3 linked regions of the Coturnix japonica genome follow. The protein of the gene in region 3 binds, or shares a complex with, the protein of the main gene of each other region. Links are inferred from orthologs where the notes say so. Each region holds a gene or a part of one and is shown on either strand. Other genes may lie near its edges.

What was found. The genes of interacting proteins can lie anywhere in the genome.
Region 1: MYBL2 (region 3) and RBL2 share a complex: the UniProt entries of both Homo sapiens proteins name them as parts of the DREAM complex. The link is inferred for Coturnix japonica from reciprocal best matches to the Homo sapiens genes MYBL2 and RBL2.
Region 2: MYBL2 (region 3) and E2F4 share a complex: the UniProt entries of both Homo sapiens proteins name them as parts of the DREAM complex. The link is inferred for Coturnix japonica from reciprocal best matches to the Homo sapiens genes MYBL2 and E2F4.

Annotation. Positions count from the first base shown.
Region 1 is NC_029526.1:4,022,444-4,027,350, forward strand, and holds the start of RBL2 (retinoblastoma-like protein 2), read right to left. Parts: upstream 3,403-4,907; coding exon 3,208-3,402; intron 2,575-3,207; coding exon 2,444-2,574; intron 2,058-2,443; coding exon 1,857-2,057; intron 947-1,856; coding exon 882-946; intron 1-881. UniProt on the Homo sapiens protein: Key regulator of entry into cell division. Directly involved in heterochromatin formation by maintaining overall chromatin structure and, in particular, that of constitutive heterochromatin by stabilizing histone methylation.
Region 2 is NC_029526.1:1,551,552-1,556,385, forward strand, and holds the start of E2F4 (transcription factor E2F4), read right to left. Parts: upstream 3,403-4,834; 5' UTR 3,356-3,402; coding exon 3,200-3,355; intron 2,157-3,199; coding exon 2,047-2,156; intron 1,627-2,046; coding exon 1,465-1,626; intron 1,200-1,464; coding exon 1,156-1,199; intron 1-1,155. Other genes in the region: EXOC3L1 (exocyst complex component 3-like protein), read left to right, coding at 4,157-4,199. UniProt on the Homo sapiens protein: Transcription activator that binds DNA cooperatively with DP proteins through the E2 recognition site, 5'-TTTC[CG]CGC-3' found in the promoter region of a number of genes whose products are involved in cell cycle regulation or in DNA replication.
Region 3 is NC_029535.1:3,104,768-3,109,507, forward strand, and holds the start of MYBL2 (myb-related protein B), read right to left. Parts: upstream 2,972-4,740; 5' UTR 2,861-2,971; coding exon 2,841-2,860; intron 2,374-2,840; coding exon 2,280-2,373; intron 1,179-2,279; coding exon 1,107-1,178; intron 718-1,106; coding exon 625-717; intron 1-624. Other genes in the region: uncharacterized protein LOC107322882, read left to right, coding at 3,830-4,495. UniProt on the Homo sapiens protein: Transcription factor involved in the regulation of cell survival, proliferation, and differentiation. Transactivates the expression of the CLU gene.

The sequences.
Region 1 (4,907 bases), on a different chromosome or scaffold from region 3:
CTCCCTGGAAATTACAGAAGGACCAGAATACGACCTAACTTACGTTCAAAGGACTCCCAGTGAACCCATCCTGACCGTACCCGAATCAATTCCTACTGTAGATGATGCTGTACAACTGAACAACTTAAGCCAAAAATGCTGGGGAGCTTCACTGCCCCTCATACAAAAGGATTTACTTCCATTCCCTTCTGTCTTTTTCTCCAATCAGTCATTAAAGAAGAAAAATGACTGAAATCCTCTGCTATTCATATCAGCTTTAAGGGTGCTCTTACAATAAAGGCAATACTTGCACGGCAATATACCGGCTCCTCCCTGCTTTGTTTCCAGGGAAGCCTGTTAACAGAGCATTTCACATGTATGATCCAAGGGAATCTGAGTCTTCCAGCCAGGCACTTAGGTGAACAAATCCAAGTGCTACCTGTGAGAGTGCCTCGAAAGTCCCCTCAGCTACAGCCTCATGACACAGTTCTGTGTTACAGAACAGAATCCATTATGTATTATCACTGTTATTTGAAACTTATAAGGAAATTAAAATCATTTTGTTCCTAGGGAACATAAAGCAATAATTTACATTAATTACAACTATCAAAATATGAATTCACTACAACTCTGAGCTGATTTTCTTTTAGTATTACAGCCTAAATCGCCAAAATACAGCAAACCCTGGAGCAGTATTTCAGATAAAGCTACCAGGCTGGCAGGGCACAGTGCTCACCTCCGACAGCTGGGAAAACAAACAGCTGCAGGAATTCAGGTGCATTCGTTCAGACTGCTCCAAGGAGGCACTTTCTTTGAAGGGCCTGCAGCTGGCTCACGGTTACAGACTGATACAGACTAACAAGAAGGGGTTTGTGGTATTCAGCCCCTTTCAGATCTCTTACCTTTCGCATGAACAAACAGCACCCAACAGAACTGGAAAACTTCAGTCACTGTGCACGGCTGTCGCCTTTGGGGGGAAAACACAAGAAGCTCAATGACTTACAATGGACAGACATCCCATCGTTCTCAAAGAGCTGCTTTGCCACAGAGCAGCTAAAATCTGAACTGTATCCCTCCCCCTCAAAAAATAACAAAAGTAAGAACTGGTCTGAAATAATGCAGTAGCTGCTCAGAGCTTCACAGCAGACACAGCTGAAGCCTCAGCCAGCAGCGATTCAAACATCACCAACAAAGCAGCACACATGGGATGCCTTCTGAAGTACTGTGAGCAATGTAAGCACATGTGCACGTCCTGCAAGGCACACGTCACACAGCACACTGGGTTTTATAAGCTGTTTGCTCACAGACCTCACCTACACACTTTGCTGAAGTGTTTTGTGTTTCTGTATAAAATTTTACATACTATGGAGAATTTTGCACTACAGCTGTTTACCAGCACCAGGTTCCTCCACTAGTCCTAACCATGAGGCCCTCCTGTCCATCAGGAGTCCTGTACCCACCCTACCACATACTGAAGTTGAGAATTCTTTCATTCAGGCCAAATTCACTCACAGTGAGGTGTTGTTCTCAATTTCTGCAGTAGTTTTATCAGCCTGCACTCATTTCTTTGGTTACTCCACCAGGTTATGTAAGGAATGGTGTTAAATGTTAAAAGCTTAGACATTTCACATAAGAATTTGGAATGGATAATTCTGACTTAACCTTCAAACTGAGTTCCTGCTCTGCTATGCAAACAGACTAGCAGGGCTCACTCAACTAACTGCAGAACTGTACATGTGCTGTAATGAAGGCCAACAGACCAACTCTGGTACCATAAAGAACCACTAAGGAAGTAAGTTAAAATGCAGATAGAACAACCAAGCAGCTTCTTGTAACAGCAACAGCCGAACATCAGTCTGGACATAACAGAACTGTACCTCTGTTTCCTTCCTCTCTGCTGACGGGGTTGATCTTCCTGAGGGTATCTGAAAATGTCCTGAAAAATGGGCTCGTACTTCTTAAAAATCACTGCAGAAACAGTGAAGTTTCTCTCCAGCCTTTCAGTCCTTTCTCGGAACTGGGAGGGCAGGTTTGCCATGTCTTCCCATTTCTTCATCTTGTTAAAGAACTCAATCAAGCTGAAGACATTGAACAGGTTAGAGCTCAGAGCGTTGGCTTTTGTTTGCTCCTATTCTCACAGAAACACGCTATAAACATACATTTATTTACAGCAAAAGTACAACTAAAACTTTCCAAGCTACCTGTAAAAGCAGCACTGCAAACACGATGATTATAGTTTGAAGTGTTCAGAGCCAGCTCCTCATTTACAAACCAGGAAGAGCTGAGACAATTCAGAGACAACCACCCTACCTGTGTGAGCCACAGCACACAGATCCCCAATGTATAAACTCAATATAACAAATCTATATAACAAATATGTATAACAAATCTAACAAAGACATCCAGACTTCGTTCTTAATTTCTGTGTTCCTCAAGGTGCTTTAAATTGGTTAAACTGAGTTACCTTTGCTCGGAGCAGCGCAAAATTCGGGTCAGTGATACATAATTGCCCTCCACTGTCCCCCTGCTGACGGTGGGGATGGCTTTCCTGCAGGCCACATAGAGGGCACACGCCAACCAGTGCAGCTCGTTGCCCTGCGAAGCAGAACATGATGCATGTCAACCCCCTGTGAGCTGCTGGGCACCGAGACATGGAGCACATTGCCACAAATGGACTGCGGCAATAACACCACCAGGGCTGCCTCCTTGTTGTGCAGTGCCCACGGCTGCACCGCATATAGAGCATATAGAGCATATAGGGCATATAGAGCATATAGGGCATACAGAGCTGACAGCAACAGGGCAGCAGTGACAGCGTGTGATGTGCGGTGCGAAACGTCATGGCACGGCTCGGCCATGGGGTCACCGCTGCCCTTCATAGCGATGTTCTGCACTGATCTGACACTAACAGGAGGAAATAAACAACATCCAGCTTTCCTTTTTATCTAAACGTCCTTCTGTGCACAAATGCGGGATGGCACAAACACGGTTCTGTGTCTCTTACACAACACAACACAACAGGGGCTACAAACACGAGTGGATTCCAACCAGCACAACCGACCCTCACTCTCAGACTGAGGAACCACAACATCCCGCCCCGCTGCCCCTCAGCGGCCACTCGTGTCGGCACGAGGCCGTTACCCCCATTTACACACACACACACATATATACATACATACATACATACAGACACACACACTCAGACCCCGCAGGCCGCCCCCCTCGCACCTCCAGCGTGTAGTTGCGCTTCATGCTCTGGTAGCTGATCCAGGCCTCGGAGCGGGCTCGCTCGTCCATGTTGAGGCTGCTGCAGAGCTCCTCGTAGCGCTGCCTCGTTTCTCCTTCCTCCGCCGGCGGTGACGGTGCTGTGGGGATCCCCCCGCCGGGCCCCGCTTCGCTCTCGGCCTCCTCCCCTCCCGCCATGCCTCGCCCCGTCGCTAGGGGGCAGCGCTCTCGCTTCTCACTGCGCCTGCGCGGCCGCCCCTGGGGCTGAAGACGCGAGTTCGAATCCCAACGCCCCGGCGCTCAGCCCCGCCCCGCCCGATAACGACATAACAACGCGACGGCGCCGCCTGCCATCCCAGGGTGCAACGGGCGGGGATGGGGGGAACGCGGGCCCGAGTGGCACCACAGGATTCCGCTTTGTTTCTGGATAAGAAACTACGGTTTTGTATCAAAATGTTAAGAAACGTAGTGAATTGAGGCAAAACAACTGTGGTAAAAGCACAACCTTAACTGTGTGGGCCTCAGTAAGTCCCAGTTATGTTCACTAAGGGGTGAATGATGGTCTTCAGCTCCTCAGAAATGAGGTGGGCTCCCAAATAAGGCTCAGGTACAAGGAGAACTGTGCCAGCACAGCAAGAGATGGTACAACCACAGGTATCGCTGTGTGAGAGAAACAACAGCACAGAACGCAGCACGGAACACAGCCCGTGTCCTCCTGGTACTGCTGATGTCAGCCCACCTGCTTCACTTGTAGCACAACACAGATGGAACAGGATAAAGCAGGAGATGACAACAGTTACCAGCTCCAGAGTTGCTTTAAGAACTGAAATAAGCTTAAGGCCAAGCTGTGATATGAAATGTTTTCCACCAGTACCAGCACTAACCGACACTAACATCATTAACATCTCCCTCACATGAGGAAATGCCACAAGAGTCCTTACCTGAAACAGCAGGGAGAATTCAGAACGTTCTTTCCTTCTTGTGGTATCAACTGAGAGAGCCTGAAGGGAGGTGGGTTAAGAAAACATCAATAGCTTTCATTGGCCTTATTTGAAAGCGCTCTCGCTCCTTTGTGAACAGAAATGTTACAGTTAATGTTAAGCAGAGGTTTTTGGCTTGTTCTTAAAGAAAAGTGAACATTAGGTAAGTTACCCCTTACATGAGGATACCTAACGTGTAAAGTGTTCTTAAAATACTGAGTTAAAATAATCAAACACCGCTCATTCCTTCCAGCAGGCTGCAATTCCAGCAGTAATAAATGCAGTTTACTGACACCACTAAGTTCTAATACGTTTCAGCACCTTTCCTTGATGTAAATAGTCTCTTCATTAAGTAGATCCCATCTATTACTCACAAATTTGATCTAATTAAGCAAACAGAAATTGAACAGATTCTCTTCCTTTTTGAAGGCTTAAGCGGAAACTTCCTACTTGTACCATAGGAGAAAAGCTGCACAAGCCCCAAGAAGCTGATGAAGCAAACACACAAGTATCAGTTAGGGTGGCTGCTTCTGCATGAATACTTACAGATATATACACACACAGGTAAGTATATATATATATATGTGTGTGTGTGTGTGTATATATATATGTATATACATACATACACACACACATACATCTACATATATGGTTAAATTTGTGACAGCTCTCTAATAGACCTGCTAAAAACAAATGAATATATATATGAATAATATACATATA
Region 2 (4,834 bases), on a different chromosome or scaffold from region 3:
CTTCCCTACGATCCACAGAGCAGACAGCAGAACAGCACATCCTTCTATTACAGACAGGTAACAAAAGGTCAGCTCAGCAAAAGTGCAGGGATTAGAAGCACAAGATTTGTGGAGGAGATGGGAGTCCTTTAACAAATCTACACTTAAGGAAAATATTGTTAAATGATGTTAAAAAGGCATAATAAAGCCCAAAGAAAGCTTAAACTTAAAGACCCAACGGCCTCAACATCACAGGCACTGCCTTTCTATCTCTCTTGATAGCTGAGTCCCAAATGTTTTCACAAGACAGTCGGTGCACAGTGTGTTTCCACTTCCTTTTGGTCACTAACAACTAAGGTTTTTGGTGTGGTCTGAGTTCAGAAGCAAACTCTTTTAGGAAGAAAAACAGGTGCAATAAAATGCAAACTGCTCAATGAACCAAGCAATAATCTGTCTGCTGGTCTCCAGGAAGCTCCCACAGGCTGTTACAAACTATCTGGCCCCAAGCACTGTCAAACTGAAAACACAACCCCCGTCCCCAAGAAGCCTGACCTTAAACCAGAAGAAACAGTAAAGCAGGAACTCAAGCAGGATAAAGTCTGGTGAACAAGGAGGACAGTGCAAGAAAGGAAAGATGAGAAACGGAAGAGCTGATGATGAGACAGCTTGGAAGAGGTGAGCAGTCAGATGAGGGTGAGATTATGCACAGCTGGGGTGGGCAGGATAAGCAGCTTCCCCATTGAACTCTCTGAGGCAAGCAAGCAGATGTAGGTTGCAGAGGGTCAGGAGAGGGCAGGCATTCACTGAAGCAGAAAGCAGCTCTGAATCCACGCTGCTACAGCTGAGAAGGCTGCCAAACTGCACTGGGGTATTTCTGGCCCTGCAGCTATCAGTGCAATTGCCAACAGAGAGGAAACAGACTCCTGCAGCTTTTTTGCCACTTTTGCCCCTCAAGGATGTGAAGTCACAACAAGAAGCACATTCCCTTCTGTCCTGCTCTTCACTCCCTCCTCTTTGCTCTCCTCCTGGTACAAGGCATGATGCAGCTGAGGGCAGCCCATGCTCAGCCCTAAGTCAAGATGTGCTGCCTCCTCTTTCCTAGAGAAAGGAAAGCAGCTGGCATAGGCTGACAGGACTGCAGCATTATATCTCTATGATGCAGCACCATTTCCTCACCTGTGAAGCACTTGCAGATATCTTCGTGTGTCACATAAGCTAGCGTTTGGAAGGTTAAGGACAACAGCTGCAGTTTCCTGCGAAGACGGAACTCAAAGGGCACCTGGAGTTTCCTTCCTTTCTGAGCACAAGAAACGCTGCAAAGGAAGCTATTGTCTATACTGGGCAGTGCTCATCTGCTTCCAAGGGGGGGATGACCTCCTTATCCTTTCAGAGCAGCAACATGAGGTGCCCCCAGCAGAGCACTGCCAGCCCAGCCCCAGCTCCTGCCTTTCAGCCCTGAGGAACGGCCGGCTGACAAAAGGATATCAGTTGTTCTGCACGTCTTCTGTGACGTTTTTGATGCTCTGCTGAACCCACATCTTCTGCTTCTCCAGCTCCTGTTCCTGCTGCTCCAGGTCCTCTATGTCTGCCTTCAGCTCGATGAGTTTGTGAGCAATCTCACGCGTGTTGCAGCCAGGACCCACCCCTCTGCACAGAGCAAACAGCAGTGACATGCATCAGCTAACAGAGCAACCAAAACACCCGGCTTTTGAGAGCTGCCACCTTCCTTCCTTCCCCCTTTATCACACATCAAGGCCAGAGAATCTCACCTGTACCCGCCCTGCAGCCTCACACCATCTTCCAGCACAGCACCATGCAGTGCATCCTCCTCCATCCCCCACCTCCAGCACCATGAAAGGTGTCTTTTCTAACTCGAGACATGGAAATAGTTTGCACCAAAATACGAGCTCTGCTATAAAAGCAATGTGCCATACATACTTTAACATTCCTCATTACTACCATCAGCACAGCTCAGCACAGGCCACTGATAAACCAGCAGAAAGGCACCCAGAAGACAAGACCTTGGATTAGAAGGGACCCATGAATGACTTCAACTCCATCACTCACTTCCATTGGATGCTGTTCTTTGATTTCTTCTCAATCAGCCCAATCCCTTCCAGAACATTCGTGATATCATAGATCCGTCGTTTCTGTCGCACAGCCAAGGTGTCTGCAGCCTGCAATAGAAGTCAGACACTTAACTCCGAACTCTCAGTCATGCTTCTCTCCTTCCTGCCTATCAGATTAACTTCTGACCAATCTATCTGCTCACCATCCCATACAGCTCCTCAGCAGCAGGGCAGGGCTACAAGCCTGGCAGCCTAAACATTCAGTGCTTCTCGAGTGTAAAGAGAGATGAGAATCTGAAGGTAGAGGGCTGCCTGAACGACAGCAGTTCAGCAAAGCTGACACTCAAAAGGTTTTTTATACCTAAAACCTGATGCCAGCTGATAGAGAATGGACACGAGGTCATGAGTCCTCTGGAAATGGATACAGGGAGGACAGAGCACTGGAACAGGCTGTGCTGTTTCCTTCTCTGTAGGTATCAGAACCCACCTGGATGCTTTCCTGTGCATTCTAATCCAGGGACTTGCTTCAGCAATGGGGCTGGGCTGCATAAACTCCAGCAGCCCCCTCCAACCCCAATGATCCCATGATCCTGACCCTTTGAAGGACCCTCCCCTCACATTCAGGAGGCACCGATATTGCTTCACCAACCAGACGGCAATGCAGAAGTAACAAGACTTTAACTGCTGCCAGTCACACAGTGGTGTCACACAGAGGGCAATGCACAAATGACTTGCCCCTCTCACACTGCAGGACTTCAGTGACCACGCACAAACCACACTAACAAACATAACCCCCATTGAACTGACAGCTTAGGGAACATCGTCCTTCTGCCCTAATCCAAGTAGACAGCAGTTTGCCATAGGAGAGGACAGCATAGCCAGGGGACCACCCCAGCCTTGTACTTCCAGCACAGCTTCATAACCCAGGGCTGCCTTCATTCTGCTTGCAGGGCATGGAGCAGAGTGCTGCTCTGTCTGATGGGAACAGAACTGGAGGGTCGCACAAGCAGAGGGGCACGGAGGGGCACAGCGTGCAGGCCGTACAGCAGCAGCAGAGCAGCCATATCGTTCGACCCGCCGTCCCCACGCTCCCCCCCCTCACACATCGATGCCCCCGGCCGGGCCTCCCCATCCTCCCACGGGCCCCGCACCAGCTTCAGGTCCAGCACTCCGTCCTTGGCCTCCTGCAGCAGCGACACGAACTTGGTGGTGAGCAGCCCCAGGCTCTTCTCGTGCCGGCTGGGCGCCCCGGCTCCCCCGCTCCCTCCTCCCGCAGCCCCGGCCGGTTGCTGCCCGCTCTCCGCCATCTGCCCGCCGCCGGCTCCAGGCCCGCCGCGCTTCCGCTTCCGATTCGGGGGGTATGACGGGAGCTTCCGTTGTGGGGCGGGCGTGGAAACCACGTGGGGGGGCGAGGACGGGCGGGGGTCGGGGCCGGGGGTCCCAGCCCCATGGTGGGCTGCTCACAGGGCTGCGGGGCTGAGCCCGAGCCCGAGCCCACCGCTGCTCTGGACGGGCAATGCCCTATTGCCTCATCGTAACCCTATGGAGGTTACCCGGCGGCCCCGGGATATCCCATTCCCCGTTAACCAAAGCATTCATGGCCAACCCGTGTCCCCGAGCATTGCGAGCCATCACCGCCCCCTTCCCGTAATGAATGAACGCACCGAACCCCCGCTGGGCATCCAACGGGGTGCCCACAGCTCAGACAAAGCGACAGGGCAGCTCAGATCCTGCACGTAGCAGAGCCCCGGGGCACCCAGCGGCCATAGGGGGCACCCAACGCCATAGGGGGCACCCAGCGGCCATGGGGGGCACCCAGCGGCCATGGGGGGCACTCAGCAGCCATAGGGGGCACTCAGCGGCAATAGGGGGCACCCAGCAGTCATGGGGGGCACCCATGGTCACCCTGCCCCATAGGGAGCCCCGCACCGAGTGGCCGCTCTTTATGTCCTTCCTCCTTCCCCTGCTCCCCCTCCGGCCCCGACATCCTGAGCGCGTCCTCGGGAACACAATGAGCCCCTGAGGATCGCCGTGTGCCGGAGGAAACGACCGTCGGCTTCCTCCGTTCGGCCCAGCCCCGCTCGTATGTGCACAGCGGCGTTGAGACCATGGGCATGTCGGCGAAGGACGAGCGCTGCGCGAGCCCTACAGGTAACGGGGACGATGCTGCAGCCCCCGCGGTGCCGGGCAGGGGAGGAGGGCTGCCGCTCCGTGCTGCTCACGCTCCCCCATCTCCTGCTTTGCCACCGTCTCCCCACGCTGCAGCCCTTCCCTCTGAGCTCCCCGCCTTCCAGGGATGCGCTGCTCTTCTTTGGGAGCCCCGAGCCCGAGCGGTGTCCTTGTGGGGGAGCTCAGGTGGGGGCAAGGTGGCATCTCCCGGGGGGGTGCAGGGAGCCCCAGTTCTCGGAAGGGGGGAAACAATGAGCCCTGAAGATGAGCTGTGTCTCAGCCCTCAGCCCTTGGCTTGGCTTTGGACACTTCTATTTGGACTCTGAAGACAGCCCCATGCAGCCCATTGGGACACCAAGGAGTCCAGGAGCCTGGGTGTGCTTGTACCAGCGTGGCTCCCTCAGGCAGAGCCTCCAGGAGTGGCACACGGACCAGCAGCTCTTTGTGCCACCTTCTGACTCGCTGCCTTCCCAGGTGGCACGAGACCCCCGTGGGCAACGTGTCCTTGTCGTGCTGGGTCACCTCAGGTTGGCACCCTGAGCTGGTGGGTTGGATAACAGCTCCTCGGGGCAGCCTGTTCACTGCATGGCCCCATCCGTGGTAATGGGGTGTCAGGG
Region 3 (4,740 bases):
TTGGCAATTTCCTCTTCGCCTAGGGCCTTTACATGTTGGCCTAAAGCTCAGTGCAAATGCTTCCAGGTAGGGAATCTTTTCTGGCTGGCCTGAAATAAATCCATGCAACAAAGCAATGTAACATAACATGCTGCTCGCAGTGTTTATCCTGCCAATATCTCAGAGAGGAGGCCAGATGACTCCAAAAGAGCACTTTTACCCTCTCCAGCAGTGCTTAGCTGAAAGGTGCAGGTAGCAGGTGCACCACAGATCTTGCTCACAGGGTCCATAACTAACACTCCTATTGCAGACTGACTGCCTAGGGCAGACAAATGGGCCACAGATACCCACGTTCAAGGATCTGGATTGTTTGCAGTGCAAAACTATCCAGCTTCAAAAAGCTGGAGTCTGGCTTGGCCATGATGGCAGTGGGCATCAGGACTAGGTTGGCTGGCAGAACAGGACATAAAGAGGGGAAAATAGGCAGCAACTGCTCTGCTGTAAGAAGGTAGAAGGGCATTGTTATAAGCTTCCTCAGGAAGTGTTTGATGTAACACAGATAGAAAGCTGTCTAGGTCTGACACCTCCACTTTGTTGACAGAGAGTCAAAGTCCAACGCTCAGACCCTGTCCTTGCCTGACTTACCTTTTGGTCCTCCTCTTTGGTCCAAGGGCCCTTAACCAAGTCTGGATTCAACACCCTCAGCCACCGGTACTGACACTGCTGGTCACTGCGGTTCTGGGGAAAGGAATCAGAGCAGATATACATTAGACTGGAGGCTCCAAAAACCCCTGTAGAAACACAGCAGTCCTCACACACACAGTCTGCAACATGGAAAAACTACAGATGCACAGAGAATGCATGCTATGGATATAGTACAGGGTACTGGGTATAGATACAAGGACAGGAACCCCAATGTCTCACTCCAGCTCCCAATAAACTCACACCCTCTAAGCAAGAAGGATGTGTCATCCTGCCCTAGAGGAACACTAAATTTGTTCAACAGTAGCAGCCACAGAACAAAGTGCCATCATACAAGGTGTTGCATGGAGACAGCCAGTGCCCTGAGCACAAGAAACAGCATGCAAACAACACTACAATTCCCAACCAGGCAAAGGGGCACTTACAGGAAAGTGACTGGCCAGGAACTTCCAGTCATTCTGTCCATAATGTCTTACTAACATCTTCAGCTGCTCATCCTGCAAGGAACAAAGACATCCACTTTCACATACACTGAGCAAAATATGTCACAGTCATCACTCTGAAAGCAACAACATCAAGATATGTTAGATATTCAGATATTTATTAATCGTTGAGCTTTTTATGTCTGCATTACAAGGAAGAGGATACTTAAGTTCTTTATCAGTGTCCCAGTGCACAGAAGCCAGTGGGAACACATTTGGCTCAGAGCTCTGTACTAGGGCAAGTTCCTGGTGTGTGCATGATGAGAGCAGAGTACAATACAAACCCAGTTGCTGTGGTCACATACAGGCCCACACTGAGTTTAGTTCAAACTATGCAGCCAGAGCTACCTGCTTATCCAGCCCCAGTATGTCCCTGACCAGGCAGCCTATCTCCCAGCTCTCATACTGCCTTTGCCTGGCCAAAGAGACCAACTGTTTTAAGTACATCACCACTAACCAGGCAGCCCGCTGCCTTTCTACACTGATAGTTCTACAGCACTTCTCTCACAAACCCTACACTACAGGGCTTCCTTGCCTGAGGGCAAGGAAATGAAAGATCTTGTGGGTGGGCAAACAAAGGTAAGAAACAACTCCCTGCCCAACACAAGCCCAAGATTTTGATCTCTGCCCAAAGGCCACTCTTACTCCATATTCAGAGCTCAAGGAAAATGAAATGTTTTGTAGTTTTTCACAAAATAAAAAGACTATGAAGGGACCAGAAGAAATGCAGAAAAAACGCCAACTCATTTCAGGCTCTTTGCCACAATCCTAAAGGTCCCAGCCCTGTCCACATTGACTTCAGAAGAGGGCATGTGCACTGCATGAATCAGCTCCAGGCCTCTGCCACCCTCTAGCAACTGCTGCAGGCAGCTGATAGCTTGCTGTAGGCCCAGGTGCTGAAGTAGTCAGAGCTCTTTGCTCCCCAGGCTTCAAACTCACCTGACCTTCCTCTCATCAAGGCCTCAGCAAAACAGACAAAGGGCCTTCCCCAGCAATGAGACACTGTGAGTGGGTGTTGTGGCAGCAGGCAAGGAGCAGGATAAGGTGCTCACACTGAAGGCCTACCCAAACTCTACCAATAGCCCTATGAGCAGTGGCTGCCCGGCCCTCACTCACCTCCTCCTGCGTCCACTTGACCTTGCACCTGCCATCCCGCTGCTCGGGCACATCCGAGTCGGTGTCCTGGCAGTGTAGCTCATCCTGATCCTCACTGCAGAGCAACAAGCAGAGCGTTATTGCCTCCCCTGGGCAAAGCACAGCACTCCCCCCACACACCCGGCCTGCAGGGCCCTGACCTCCAGGACCCCTCTGCGTGCGGGTCAACCCCACATTAACACAGAGAAAGGACAATCCTTCGGTTCCAGCCCATCAGTGAGGGCTCCGTGAGCCCAGGCCCCGCTCCATCCCCCTCCATACAGCTCCCCAGCCCTATTCGTTACTGCTGGGGTACAGAGGGCACCAAAGCAGCGCACAGCGAGGCTCCCACAGGGCCGGGACCGCTCTCAGCCACCGGGCCCAGCCTGAAGGCATCACGAAGAGGCGGGCGGCGGGCCAGGCTCTGCTACCCCATCCATCCACACCGCTCAGGGACACCGAAACCGCAAGACCCCATAGACCACAGCCTCCCCCCCATTGAGAAGACACGGAACCATCCGCACCCCGGGGGGCTCCACTCACCCTCGGTTGCGGCGCGCCATGGCGGCGGGGCCGGGCGGCGGCGGCGGCACTTTCCTATCTCGCGCCAACGGCTGCCCCCCACCCCGCGCGGGGCCGGGCCGCGCATGCGCACTAAGTCAGCACCGCACAAAGACGCGCGCGCGGGAGGGCGCCCTCCCGCCTGAGTGCGGCCACCACAGAGCGGGACAGCACCAGAATGAGCCTCCACCGCCTTAATGCCGGACTAACAGAATTAACCCAACTAACTTGCAGCCCTCCCCCCTCCCAAGTGATTTTAATGAGAGAATTAGCCCGTTAATTAATCCCCAGCACTATAAAAGCGCTCCGAGCAGCGCTAGTTAAAGGAAGGGCTGCGATCCTGAAAGAAGCCTCTGTAGGAGCTAAAGGCAAGTAGTGCTCGTCTTATTGCCTAGGTTTTTCTCTGTTTAGATGCTATTTAAGGTTTCATTTAAGGATGTTTCCCTTTGGGATGATCATATAACTGTCCTAAGTAACCTAGGGAGCTTTCTGCTGTGACTCTTGACGCTCCAATGTGATGTGATATAGATATTATGTTATTTAGGTATGATGTAATTTAGGATGCTGTAGTGTCCCCAGGTCACCCTGGTATAGCTATGTTTGTAAGGTCTCTATGCTACCCCTATTGGGATGTAGCCTGGCTCTACCTGGGATAAATGCTCTCCTGACCTCAGGAATGGAGATAAAGCCTTTCTGATGGCCACCTCAGTGTCCCCTGCAGCAGAGATGCTTCGAGGCCCCTCATACACAAAGCTAAGAGCAGTGCTATGTAGGTTGAGTGAGCACAAACCTAGGAGTGCTGCCTTGCCCCGTGCTCAGCAAGGGGCCTGAAAAATCATTCCTTGGTGCTGTGGTTTGGGCCCTGTGTCCTGTTAGGAGATGGGGTGGGGAGGGTGCCCTGCCTGGATCTGAAGGGCTGCCCTTAAACTGCGTGTTCCAACAGGGACTCCTGGTTCCTCCAGCCCTGCGCCATGCCGTCCTCGCAGCAGCACAGCACCCTGACCATTAAGGACCTGCTGGACAATGGATTTGTGGCTGGGGCCTCTGGACATACCCACTTCTCTCCTGTGTACAGCTACTACCTGGACTCCAGTAGTGCCCCAAAGCAGAGTACCTGGGAGCTGCTGGCAGATGTGGACACCACGAGGGGCAGCCCTGTGTGTATGGTGGCACAGCCCATGGGCAGTGGAGTGAGGGCTGGCCTGGGCTCCTCGGACCTCAGCTTCCTCTCCTTCTGCAGGAGCCCTTCCAGCCCTGCCATCCTCAACCTGTCAGCTGTGCCCTGTGAGCTGCCTGCAGGGCCCGGCTCCTTGCTGGATGTAACATCAAGGAACACCTCCACACCGTGCAAAGCTGGGAAGCGCCTCAAAGAGAGAGCGCTGTCCCATAGCACGGAGCTGCTGAGTGACCTGCTGTCCCCTGGGAAGCCCCCAGCATCCAGGTGGGAGATCTCAGACATCAAGCCCCCTCTGGATGCCAGCCTGCCCCTCGATGTGAGCTTGCTGGGGTGCTCCAAGCTGGACACGTCGCTGCTGGGCACCCCTGTGGTGCTCCCTTTATGCTGGCCCAGGAGGGACGTGGCTCTGCTCCCTGAGGCCCAGCTGGGTGATATGGAGCCTGGCTCTCAGGCCCCGTGATGACTCTCAGCGCTGACTGTGGTGTCTCCGATCACCTCCATGCCAAAGAACAGAGTGCTCTCAGCTTTGTGGCCGTGCTGCTGTTGGGTAACACGGTGAAATCTTTCTCTTCAGCGGGAGGTGACTGCGGTGAGAAGCTGATGGCAGAGCCCTTACGAGCTGCAACCCACAGCCTCCAGCCCAGCTCCCCGCTCCTATATCCTACTGCTGTCTTTTGTATTAAGGTAATAAAGCTTTAAACTTTC